Linked DNA regions of Callithrix jacchus. The protein of the gene in region 2 interacts with the protein of the main gene of each other region in a pairwise test. Links are inferred from orthologs where the notes say so. Each region holds a gene or a part of one and is shown on either strand. Other genes may lie near its edges. The genes, in order: AHCYL1, GEM and LZTS2.

Evidence for each region.
Region 1: the proteins of GEM (region 2) and AHCYL1 interact in binary tests that used the Homo sapiens proteins (3 or more experiments, as listed by UniProt). The two-hybrid records come from large-scale screens. The link is inferred for Callithrix jacchus from reciprocal best matches to the Homo sapiens genes GEM and AHCYL1.
Region 3: the proteins of GEM (region 2) and LZTS2 interact in binary tests that used the Homo sapiens proteins (3 or more experiments, as listed by UniProt). The two-hybrid records come from large-scale screens. The link is inferred for Callithrix jacchus from reciprocal best matches to the Homo sapiens genes GEM and LZTS2.

The regions. Positions count from the first base shown.
Region 1 is NC_133508.1:147,871,008-147,874,754, forward strand, and holds the end of AHCYL1 (S-adenosylhomocysteine hydrolase-like protein 1), read left to right. Parts: intron 1-250; coding exon 251-371; intron 372-1,155; coding exon 1,156-1,162; 3' UTR 1,163-3,226; downstream 3,227-3,747. UniProt on the Homo sapiens protein: Multifaceted cellular regulator which coordinates several essential cellular functions including regulation of epithelial HCO3(-) and fluid secretion, mRNA processing and DNA replication.
Region 2 is NC_133517.1:32,946,983-32,950,629, reverse strand, and holds part of GEM (GTP-binding protein GEM), read right to left. Parts: intron 1,094-3,647; coding exon 1,017-1,093; intron 213-1,016; coding exon 8-212; intron 1-7. UniProt on the Homo sapiens protein: Could be a regulatory protein, possibly participating in receptor-mediated signal transduction at the plasma membrane. Has guanine nucleotide-binding activity but undetectable intrinsic GTPase activity.
Region 3 is NC_133513.1:93,953,081-93,956,755, reverse strand, and holds the start of LZTS2 (leucine zipper putative tumor suppressor 2), read right to left. Parts: upstream 2,865-3,675; 5' UTR 2,704-2,864; intron 1,668-2,703; exon of another isoform or gene 1,536-1,667; intron 1,368-1,535; exon of another isoform or gene 1,006-1,367; intron 153-1,005; exon of another isoform or gene 26-152; intron 1-25. UniProt on the Homo sapiens protein: Negative regulator of katanin-mediated microtubule severing and release from the centrosome. Required for central spindle formation and the completion of cytokinesis.

The DNA.
Region 1 (3,747 bases), on a different chromosome or scaffold from region 2:
CCACCCCCTTTTATTACTGGTAAGTGGTTTTCTGAACACACTTGAGATGTGCTGAGAGAAGCGCCCTGCCAAGAAAGGCAGCTTTGAGGTTTTTTTTTGGTTAAGCAAGTATTTCAAGTTGTGAATTCTTTCAGTTATTCCACCCCTTGTCTGCTTTCTTAAAAAAGCTTCAAATGAAAGTAGTGGGAAGTTATAACCTGAGAGGCATATTGAAAAGGAGTCTGCTCTCCTGCCACTTTGCTCTTCCTAGATGAATATGTTGCCAGCTTGCACCTGCCATCATTTGATGCCCACCTTACAGAGCTGACAGATGACCAAGCAAAGTATCTGGGACTCAACAAAAACGGGCCATTCAAACCTAATTATTACAGGTAACCTGAGGAGAAGCAAGTGAAAAGCTCTTTTTCCCAGTATTAAACCAAGCAGGCTAGCCTCTTTCTGACATAAAGATCAAATGTTGTACCTGATTTTGAAGAGTACAAGAAATCTGTTCCAGGCCAGGTATGATGGCTCACGCCTATAATCCCAGCACTTTCAGAGGCCTAGGCGCATGGATCACTTGAGGTCAGGAGTTCAAGACCAGCCTGGCCAATGTCGCAAAACCCTATCTCTTAGCTGAGTGTAGGGGCATGCGCCTGTAGTCATAGCTACTCAGGAGGCTGTGGCACGAGAATTGCTTGAACCTGGGAGGCAGAGTGAGCCAGGATCACACCACTGCACTCCAGCCTGGGTGATAGAGTGAGGCTCTGTCTCAAAAAAAAAACCCAACTGTTCTAGTTAACAAGGTAGACAGAGATTGTGATGAATGTAAGGGAGTTAGGGGATTTTTTGAAATTTTGGAACCTGGGCTTCACCCCAAGAGATTCTGATGGGACCAAATTTACAAAACGTTATTTTGTAACACCTCCCCAGATTATTATAATGTTTAGTCAGAGTTGAAAAACACTGACTCTTGGGAGCAGGTGGTAATACCAGAAGTGGCATTGTCAGAGACGCTGTATAAGAACAAGGAATAATGGTGTCCTGGGAAATGACTGCAGGGATCCCACACCGGCTGGGGAGGGGCGTTGGAGAAGGTGCTCGGTTTCCAATTGTCGTCTTGGAGCTCTCATATGGAAAACGTAAGTGTTAACCAATCACTCTCTCTCTTTACAGATATTAATGGACCATATTACCAAGGACCAGTCCACGTGAACCACACACTCTAAAAGAAATATTTTTTAAGATAACTTTTATTTTCTTCTTACTCCTTTCCTCTTGATCGTTTTTCCTGTAATTTCATTCTTGTTTTTTCATCTCCTTATCTAAGTTCTGCAGACCCCAAAGGAACTTGCTTCATAGCTCTTTAGATGAAATGGAAGTTCAGGGTTCCTCATCCCAGTCACTAAAGAAGGATTTTACTCTCCCAGCCCAGAAAGGTGATTCTTTCTTTACCATTTCTGGGGACTTTAGTCTTAATTAGGTACCTTATTAACAGGAAATGCTAAGGTACCTTCTCTGTGGAACAATCTGCAATGTCTAAATCGCCTTAAAAGAGCCCATTTCTTAGCTGCTGAAATCAGGGCTCTTTCACTTCTTCAGAGAAGTAGGGATGGTATCTACCAGGCAGGTAGGTTAGATGTAGGTGGTGCATGTTAATTTCCCTTAGAAGTTCCAAGCCCTGTTTCCTGTGTAAAGGTGGTATGTCTGGTTCAGAGATGTGTATAATGAGCATTGCTTGTTAAGACCAGGAAGCCCACTTGGATGTATAGTACACCTTTCCTCTACTCCCACCAGACTTTCTCATTTTTCTAGTTTTTAACTAGACTGTACTCTATTGAGTTGAATTGAATTTTGTCCTCTAGGATTTATTTCTATTGTCCAAAAAGAAAAATTAAGGAAAATTTTTAGTGTTAATGCTGAGGAACTGCTTGAGTGGTTAGTCGTTACCAATTTCTCTAAATTTTAAACCCTTGGAGCTAAGGATGCTGAGTCTAGAGAAATGCTAGTCTCAAACCCTGTTATGGCCCTGTGTTTCTAACCCATAGTTTATAGCATCAGTGAACTGGAGCCATAACAGCAAATTCTGTCAGCTCTGTCCCATACAGCTGTGCTGAAGGCGAATTTCTTGAGCCATTACTCAGTATAAAGCACTGACTTCTATCTTTAGCATTTATCTTTAAGAGCAAATTTCTGGTCAGCTGTGCTTCTGCAACCTGAAATATTTAAGGGGGGGTAGGTGTGGGCAGGAGGAGGAATGATAAATTGGGCCAGGGTGAGAAAAATCTAGCTTCATATAATTTGTCTGGGACTATACAGCCTATATAATGGTGGTTTTACAGAAGTAATAATGACTTTTGATTGCTACATACCACAAAAAGTTTATGAACTGAGATCTCAAAGGGCAATTGATGTGTGGAGAAAGTCATCAGTCCATCCTGGCTTATGCTCTGAAAGAATCTCCAGAGAGGCTCTCTCAAAGATCAGGGAGATGTATTTCCATGCCATGCACCCTGCTGCCCAGCATCTCTGCATGGTCAAATGAGCTGTATGCTCGTGAGCTTTAAGTATACAATTATCCAGGATTTTAAATCCTCAACCTGTTCTAGCTTGTGATCCTTCAAAGTTGGGTCATACATTAGTGCTAGATACTAGAAATTTTCACTTTTCCATTGATCAGAGAGTCAGACATATAAAAACGAAAATAAAAGAAAGGAAAGCTTTCACCCTGCACCTTCTTAGCAGGGGACAATTGTCTTGCCAAAACTTCTTTCCCTTTTCTCTCCCATTTTCCCCCACCCAGTCCCTTCTCATTCCTTGCCAGTGTATAACCATGCTTTCTTCTCTGTAGATGTTAACAGTTGAGGCCCTTTTTCCTCGGGCACTTAACCAGCCAGTCAGAACACCACATCTGTTAGGGGAGGCAACCTGGCCAACAACCTATCCATCACGTTGGCCCTGCTGGAGGGAAGGCACCCACATTAACCTGCCCTCTGGCCTGTCCCCTGATCCCATGTCTATTACTGTGTCCATAGGAATAATAGGTAAGGGCTCTGTCTCTGTCAAGCCATGTAACAAAGGACACTGTAAAAAAAAAAAAAAAAACAGTCTGGCATCAGAGGGAGCATGTGGAGAGCAACTTGGGAGGAACGAGTTCATTTTGTATTGAATGATTTTTAATGAATGCAATATTAATCCTTGCAGATTAGCAATAATCATTAAAATCAATTAAAATGATAAGACCTTATTGGCAGTCTGTGTATCATTCTTTGTTGAACACCAAAACTTCACTAGAACCTGTTTTCTAAGGTATGACAAGTTATAGGTCAGCAGCATTTAATAGAGATTTGTTGAGGACCTAATTTGTAGAGGCTGGATACAGTATTCTTCAGTAATACCTGAAGTTTTGTTTTCCTGCTCTGTGCCAAGCACCCAGCCTGGGTACTTTCACTCCTAACCTCTTTCAGAAAGCAGATTTGCTGCTTAAGCCTCAGGGCTCCTCATTTGCATAGTTCCTTCTAAAATCTCATTTCTAAAGAATGCCCCCAAAGTTATGTAAGCTTCAGCCTCCCCCGGCACCTGTATCCGTTTCTGAAGTGATCTCAGTGTCTTCTTTTTTTTTGAGACAGGGTCTCACTGTCACCCAGGTTGGAGTGCAGTGGCTTGATCTTAGCTCACTGCAACTTCTGCCTCCCAGGCTTAAGCAGTCCTCCCACCTCAACCTCGTGAGTAGCTGAGACCACAGTCTCAGCTAATTTTTTTGTATTT
Region 2 (3,647 bases):
CTCTTACCTGATACAGACACTTCCCGGCACCGGACTAAGTCACTTTTGTTGCCAACCAAAATGATGGGAATGTCCTCTGTCTGCCGGGCCCTGCGGAGCTGGATTCGCAGCTCAGATGCCTTCTCGAAGCTCGCTCGGTCCGTGATTGAGTAGACAATCAGGTATGCGTCCCCGACCTGCATGCAGTGGTCGTGAAGCCATTCATTCTCCCCCTAATGAAACAATAAGATCTTCTGTGAGTTCAATTTGACGTGGGGAATGAAGCGTCAGTTACCAAAGAAACAATACATGTATCCTAAAGTACCCTTGCTGATAGAAGAAAGGAAGAAATTGCTTCCAGCTCTCCAAAAGCATTGGTCTTCCATGCCTACAAGATGTTTGGTGGCTGGAAAGATGGCTAGCCTGTCCAGTATTTATGCCAAAAAGTTTTTACTTTTCAATGTCTTCTGCAGCTTGAGTTGATAAATTACACAACTACTCTGCCAAACAGCATTTCCAATTTCTACTTAATCTACCATAAATGAGCCTTTGCTGACTTCTCAAAAACTCCCTTTTGCCTTTCCAAGTGATGAGATTAAGAACACTTTTGTGGGGACTAGGAGGGATTTTCAATAAACAGAAGTCTACCACATAGGTTCTGAGGCATTTCGAAATCTTTAAAAAGCCAATGTTGCAAATTAGTATTGAGAATCTCAACTTCAGATGAGATGGATTTATGTTATTTAAAGCAACAGTCCATGCCTGTTTGTGTTTTCCCTAAAACAAATACACGTTTTTGGTGTGTTTTTTAATAGAACTAAAGGCAAGTCACTACAACTTGCTTGTTATTCAGAACTCATCTGTGAACGACCTGTTCCTCAGAATGGTCTCATTCTTCAGAAGCATGCTTTTAATCAAGAAAATGAGCCCACCTCATCTACAATACCCACTATACAGGACAAGGTCCCCCTCACACCAAACAGCTTGTTGGAAGGAAAACCCCCGAAGGAATTTAGAGAGCTACAGGCTCTGCATACCTTATTTTCCCACATATCCAGGAGTATAATTGTTGCACTTTCCCCATCAACCATCAGGGTTCGTTCATATGTATCTTCTAGAAAAAAAAAGAACAAATATATATTGAAGTCAGGTGAATATGCAACACTTTTCCATAAAAGGGTCATGTAGAAACTTACGCTAGAACATAAACTCTCTAAATATGCAATTAATTATGCAAATATAAAGACATTTTCAAAGGCAAATTACTATTTTTGTCACTTTCAACAACATTCTACTACATTCCTCCAGCAGAGCATATCTCTCAAACATGCATCACTAAACCACATGGAGTAAAAGCCATTTGTTTTCATCATTCCTGGACCTTTCACATGGGAAAATCATTTATGAGGATAAACTTAAAGACTTTTGTCTCAGATTCAATGATTAATGCTATGAGAAAGCATTAACTGCCCAGTGAAACTGTAAGCCCGTTTTCATAAGTCCATTGTACCTTTCAGTGGGTAGTTACTTAACACTCACTGGCAATTTCAGGAGCTTTGAGCTCAGAGACACTGCTCCTCTTTGGACAAGGGCAGGAAAGAATCTTAAGTCTCTCCCTGTTTTGGCTGTAGTTTTCTTCCTTTAAAAAAAAAATCCTGTTCCCTCGGAATAAATGGGCTTGTTTTTCCCTCTTAAGTATAACAGAAATTCAGCCTCCAGCTCTACTTGGTAATGGAAACTTTCCTCCCTGCACTCGAGCCCAGATCATGTGTAGGTGAAGGGTGAGCACAGTAACAGTACGATGGGCCAAAGCAATTCCAGCCTGGAAAAATCCATGGTGAGGCAGGCGTAGAAAGGGTCCAGTGGGATTTTTGCAAGTGGGATTTCCACCATCCCCATACAATTGAGCCCATCCTCACTCTATTTTCACAATGAGGTTTCCTGTTTTGAATTTCATCTTTTGAAAATTATGACTTTCATAATGATTTATCATTTTTCTACTTGTTCTTTTCGTCTAGAATCTTCTCCCTCAAATATCCACAAGGCCTATTCCCTTACCTCCCTCTGGGGGAGGGGCTTCCTGGCCGTCCATTTAAAATGGCAACACTTCTCTCCCACAATATTCTTTCCCATCACACTTATTGCCACCTAGCATACAACACATTTAACTTATTTATTTTATTATTTTCTGTCCCTCCTGCCCCTCCTTATAATGTTAGGGCAGACCTTTGCATCTGTGCTGTTTACTGTGTCCCTCCACACATTGGTACATTGCTGGTGTGCAATAAAAGTGTGTACAGTGAGCGGATGATAAATACAGCATTGTGGCTGTGAGCATGAGCAAACCCGAATTCGAATCCAAGTGTTGTCTCTTATGAACTCTGTGGGTCTGGGCCACTTAAGCTCTCTGAACCTCAGTTTTCTTCATCTGTGCAATGAGACTGACAATAGTACTCACACCTTAGGGCTATGTGACAGTTACATATATTAAGCCTGGGCACAAAGCAGAAACTCAATCAATGTTAGTCATTATCCCTTCTTCACGTGAAGGAAGCTGGTTCTTGCCATACTCAGCACTTCCTTACTACAGATAAATCCTAGCTTAAGAGAGCTACATTGGAACCAGGACATTTCTTGTTTTATAGTAGCAAAGGGTTTATGAAAAACACTGCTCCTGGATCCATGCTTCATCATCTAAGAACTGGAACCAGGAAAGGTTCCTTACAGAAGGAAAACTTGGACAAATAAGAAGAGTTAACCAGGGATGGCCCTGTCTTTCTGTGAGTTTCCTCCTCCTCCCACAGTGTCATTCTTCTCATCAGTGTTTGCCACTGGGGGATTAAAACTGTCATGCCCATCGTGTGTGCCTGCTCACAATACGCAGAAGGAATGAGATCACAGTGGGACTATTCGGATTATGGGGCAGGGGCGGGGTAGAGCCTCACAACCTCAACATGCAAATTTGACAATGCAATGGAGACCATCAGCGCTTGGGCAGCACAGAGCAGGGATGGGCTGACTGCCCGCTTCCCACCACAGGGTTCTTAGCTTTTCTCTAAAATCCCTCCCTGCACTCAGACAACTCCTTCAATGATGGAGGAACCTTCTCTGCCCTCAGCCCACCACTCAGGTACAGGGTACTTGCTTGAGTGCCCAGTCATTCAAATAGAAACATACTGTGTTCCAGTCACTGATGGAAAAAGAAACCCCAACTTTCTCCTGGCTTAAGAAACATCAGAACAAGTCTAGAGAAAAAGTGGACTAAGGATCACAGCCATAAAAATAGAAACAAGATGCTTTGCCATTCTAGAAGTTTCCTGACAGAGTCACTCTGTCTGACCTTACCTCTGCCTGAAAATCATTGTGTTGGAGGGCCTGGGAGGTTAAAGCAATCCATCTCCTCCCTGCTCAGCATGTGTACTCTCCCTTTACTCCCCACCCCAGTACAGGCGTTTAGATACGGCCTCTGGCTGTGTGCACCAGGACCCTTCCAGCACACATGGCATCCCCCCTAACCAGGTGCAAGCCTGGGAGTAACACAGCTCTAGGTTTCTCTTCCTCTAAGTTGCCCAGCTCATCTTTTATCCTTGTCAAGTGCTAACCAGGTAAGAAGAAGGGAACGAAATGAATACCAGGCTCTAGGAGAGCTCTTTCAAGTGTGCTCCCGG
Region 3 (3,675 bases), on a different chromosome or scaffold from region 2:
CCTCCCAGCCCCGGCCCCCCCTCACCTCCGCCGCGCTGCTCCATGCTCAGCCCCAGGCCGCCCCCAGCGCTCCACAGGCGCGCCGCCCGGCTCCGGCCCCGATCCCGGCCCGCGCGCCGCCACTCCGAGCGGCCCGGGCCGGCCCCGCCTCCGCCTCCGCGGCGCCCCCCGGCCCAGGCCAGCCCCCGCCCAGTGCGAGTGGGCGGCGCTGCGCAAGGGAGGGTCCGAGGGCCGTCCCCGCCCCGGGCCGCGGACACGCTCCGGCACCCGCGTCACGCGAGTCCGCCGGGGCGCACGTAGGGGCTGCTCGGCGGCAGTCGGGAGCCCTCCTTCCGACGCCCTGTGACTGCGTGTCCGGGGACTTGGCTCGGCTCGGCGGCGGCGGTCACCCTCCGCCCCAGCCCGGGCCCGGGGGCCGGCGGCAGCTGGTCATTGTTACAGCACAAAGAGCCCCGGCGAGGCGGCGGCGGCCGCCCCTCCCCCTCGGCTTCTCCAGGCGAAAATTCCCTGACACGCTCTCAGCCTCAGGGTCCCAAGCAGGAGGCCGAGGGCCGGCCGCCCCCCACTCTCCGGTCCGGGGGCCCCGCGCCCTAGCGTGAGACGGTGGCCAAAGCTCGGTCCGCGCCTGCCCCACCCGCGGCGGGTTGCAGGCGGCAACCTGGGCTTCGCGGAGGCGGCGCCACCTGGCGGCCGACTCGAAGAACACACTCAGCCTCCCCCCACCACACTGGCCCTGTCCCACTCCCCGGCACGGTGTCCTTTCCCCCGCGAACCCAGGCCGGCCTCCCCTTGGGATCACTTTTTAAAAAGAGAGGCCATTTCTCAGAGAGGGGCAGTCCTGGCTCCCCAATATCACTGGGCGAGCCGGTTCCAGCCTACAGCCCAAACCTACACCAGCCTCACGGCAAACAACATTCCACTTTCTCAGGATCGCAGACATTTTCACCTTCTCGCGCACAACACAGTCCCTAACACCCACACGACCTTTCCCATAGGCAGCCTCACCACGCAGCCACAAGCAGTCTCAGCTGTCACGTGGGACCGCGTTCCTTCTTTCCATAATCTTCCAGTCCATGTCACACACAGACACGGTGTCACAGGCCTGTTGTGGAGAGGCTTCCACAATTCGCAGTCCTTCGCACCCAGTCACAGTCTCAAATGCACTTAGTCTCCTGGCCATCTTTCACACATTGACAGCCTCTATTGACATTCACTCACACGGACAACTTCTTACACACACGCCGTGCTTCACAAATATCCTATAGCACAGCCTTTCCCTTAAGGGTCTCGGTGACCCGGTCAGGTCAGCTGATGCCTGCATCCCTGGGCAAAGACAGCCTTTCTCCCCTAAGGACTCCCTCCCCCCCAGGGCCAAGGCCTGCCAGAGCTCGTCCGGGCCCCAGGAAGGAGCATCCCCCCCTTCCAGGCCACAGCCCTGGCCCGCTCTCAGCTCTATTTTTAGCTCTATGGATAGGGTTGTTTTTCTTTCTTTTTCCCTGGAAAGGGAAACACAGCCCAGCCACCCTCAGACTCACCCCAGACCCTCAGCCTCACAAGAACAGACTGAGCCCCTCTCCCCAGCAAAGCCCCCTCCTCTGGCCTTGCCCTGATCCCTGCCTCCTGGGGCACAGAGAGCCTCCTCCTCTTTCTGGCAGCCTGCCCATCTCAGGCAGCAGCTGGGCTCAGCGTGTGTGTGTAGGGGTGGGGGGGTGGGGCGGGGAAAAGGAATCAAGCTACTGCCCACTCCCTCATTCCCTGGGGGGAGGAGCTCGCCCTCCTTTTGCTAGGGGGGTAGGCCCACTCCAGTATTGAGGGGGCGTTTACACTCATGAATTTTCTCGGGGGAGGAGACTCGGAATCCCACAAAGAGTGGAAGTGAGGGTAGGAAGGGGACCCTCAGGCGCTCAGACAGCTGCTCTCTGGGCTGGGGTTAATAGGCGGGGGCAGCTGTCCACTGTCATCAAGGGCCTGTCTCCGAAACTTTCCGGGATGTAGACACCAAGAATGTGCTGGGAAGAAGGACGTCCAGGAGCCCGAGTTACCCCGGCCCTGCCCAGCAGCCCGGCCCTCCTGCTCCGCCCCGGCTCCAGGGGGCGCTGTGCTCCGGTGCCTGGGAGAGGGTTTATCCCGGCTCCAGGCGGAGAATGGAACGCCGTCCGGCCTGGGACCAGGCAAACGCGCCCGGGACTGGGGTTGGGGTCCCCGCCCCGTGGTGGGGTTGGGAGCACTGGCCACTGATCTGCGGAGCGATCACGTGCGCCACGCCTGTTTACGTCTTGGTCTTCACCTGCGGGCGGCCAGGAAGCAGGAACCTCTGGGTGCGTCCCACCCGGCCCGCCTCCATTGCGGGCACGGGGCTGCCCCTTTCCCCCACCCAATACGCGACCGCAGAGTGTCCTGGCCGCTGGGGGTACGCGCGCGCCGGCTGGCGCTGTCCCTGGGAGTGCAAGGGTAGCCAACTGGGCGCGTCCTTTCCGAGTGCTTGTGTATTCGCATGTCCCAAGTGCGGGCGTGGGTCTGTGCACGCGTGTGTGGGGACCCGTTGGCATGCGTTTCCGTGTCGCTTCCCTGTTCTGACTCTTCGCCTGCGCCCGACCCCACTCCTCATCCCCACCCCCAGCTTCTCCAGAAGCGGAAAGTTCGCTCTGGAGCGGGGATGTGCAGGAGGCGGGAGTTCCTGCACCTCCGCCGCCCACCACTCACCCAGCGCCAGCTGCGCCTCGGCTACAGCTCCGGCGCCGCTCCTGCTCCAACGCGCTCGCCTCCTCGCTGCGACAACGCCGGCTCCCTAGCTCGCTCCGAACTCTGGGCTCCGGGCTCCGGGCTCCCGGCTCCCGGCTCCCGGCGCCCGCCTGGCAGGACCTGGTGGAGCAGAGCGGGGCGGGGCAGGGCGGCTCAGGCCGCGCCCCCCACCCGGGGAGGGGAGTGGTCTGCCCCGCACCCCACCAACAGCCGACCCAGTGCCCAGCCCAACAGTGGCTAGACAGTGGCGGAGGATGCCTCTCTGGCCTCTGACTTCACAGCTTACCGGACTTGGTTTTCCACCTGGGGAAAAGGGGCGATCATCACGTGACCGAGAATTCTGCTACCTGGCTGCCTTAACTAAGCTGCCTATAGAGCCTGACTCCGCCACTCTCCCCCCTGCTCGGTTGGGAGCCCAACCAGTCCACTCTGGGCCCAATACCCAAGTACAAGGAAAACCCCTGGGAAGCACACAAAGAAGACTTGAGTTTCACCAGAGCAGCTCCCACCTACCCCCACCATGCACACACCTCACTTGGGGCCGCCCAAGCAGAACCAGCACAGCCCCCTCCCTGGAGTAGGTGTCTGCCCAGGTGAGCAGGCCTGCCGGTTTTGACCTCCCAGGGGGCATGGCTGGGCTTCTTTTAGACTCATAAAGTCCCACCCACAGGCACAAACAGGAAGTTGGCCTGTATTGCAAGGAGGCCCCAAGGGCTCCCTCCCACCATGTCACTCAAGGCAGCATGTGGGTAGGTCTACAGGTACTTGGGCCATATGAGCTGCAGGAGACCTCGGTGAGTTGTGGCTTCTGAAATCCATCCACTGCAGAGAATAAGCTGCTGGAGGACCAAAGCTGACCCCTCACAGCCAAGTATGACACACACTGTCCATCACAGGACAGGGCTGCAGATGCAACTGAACCTGACTCAGCCA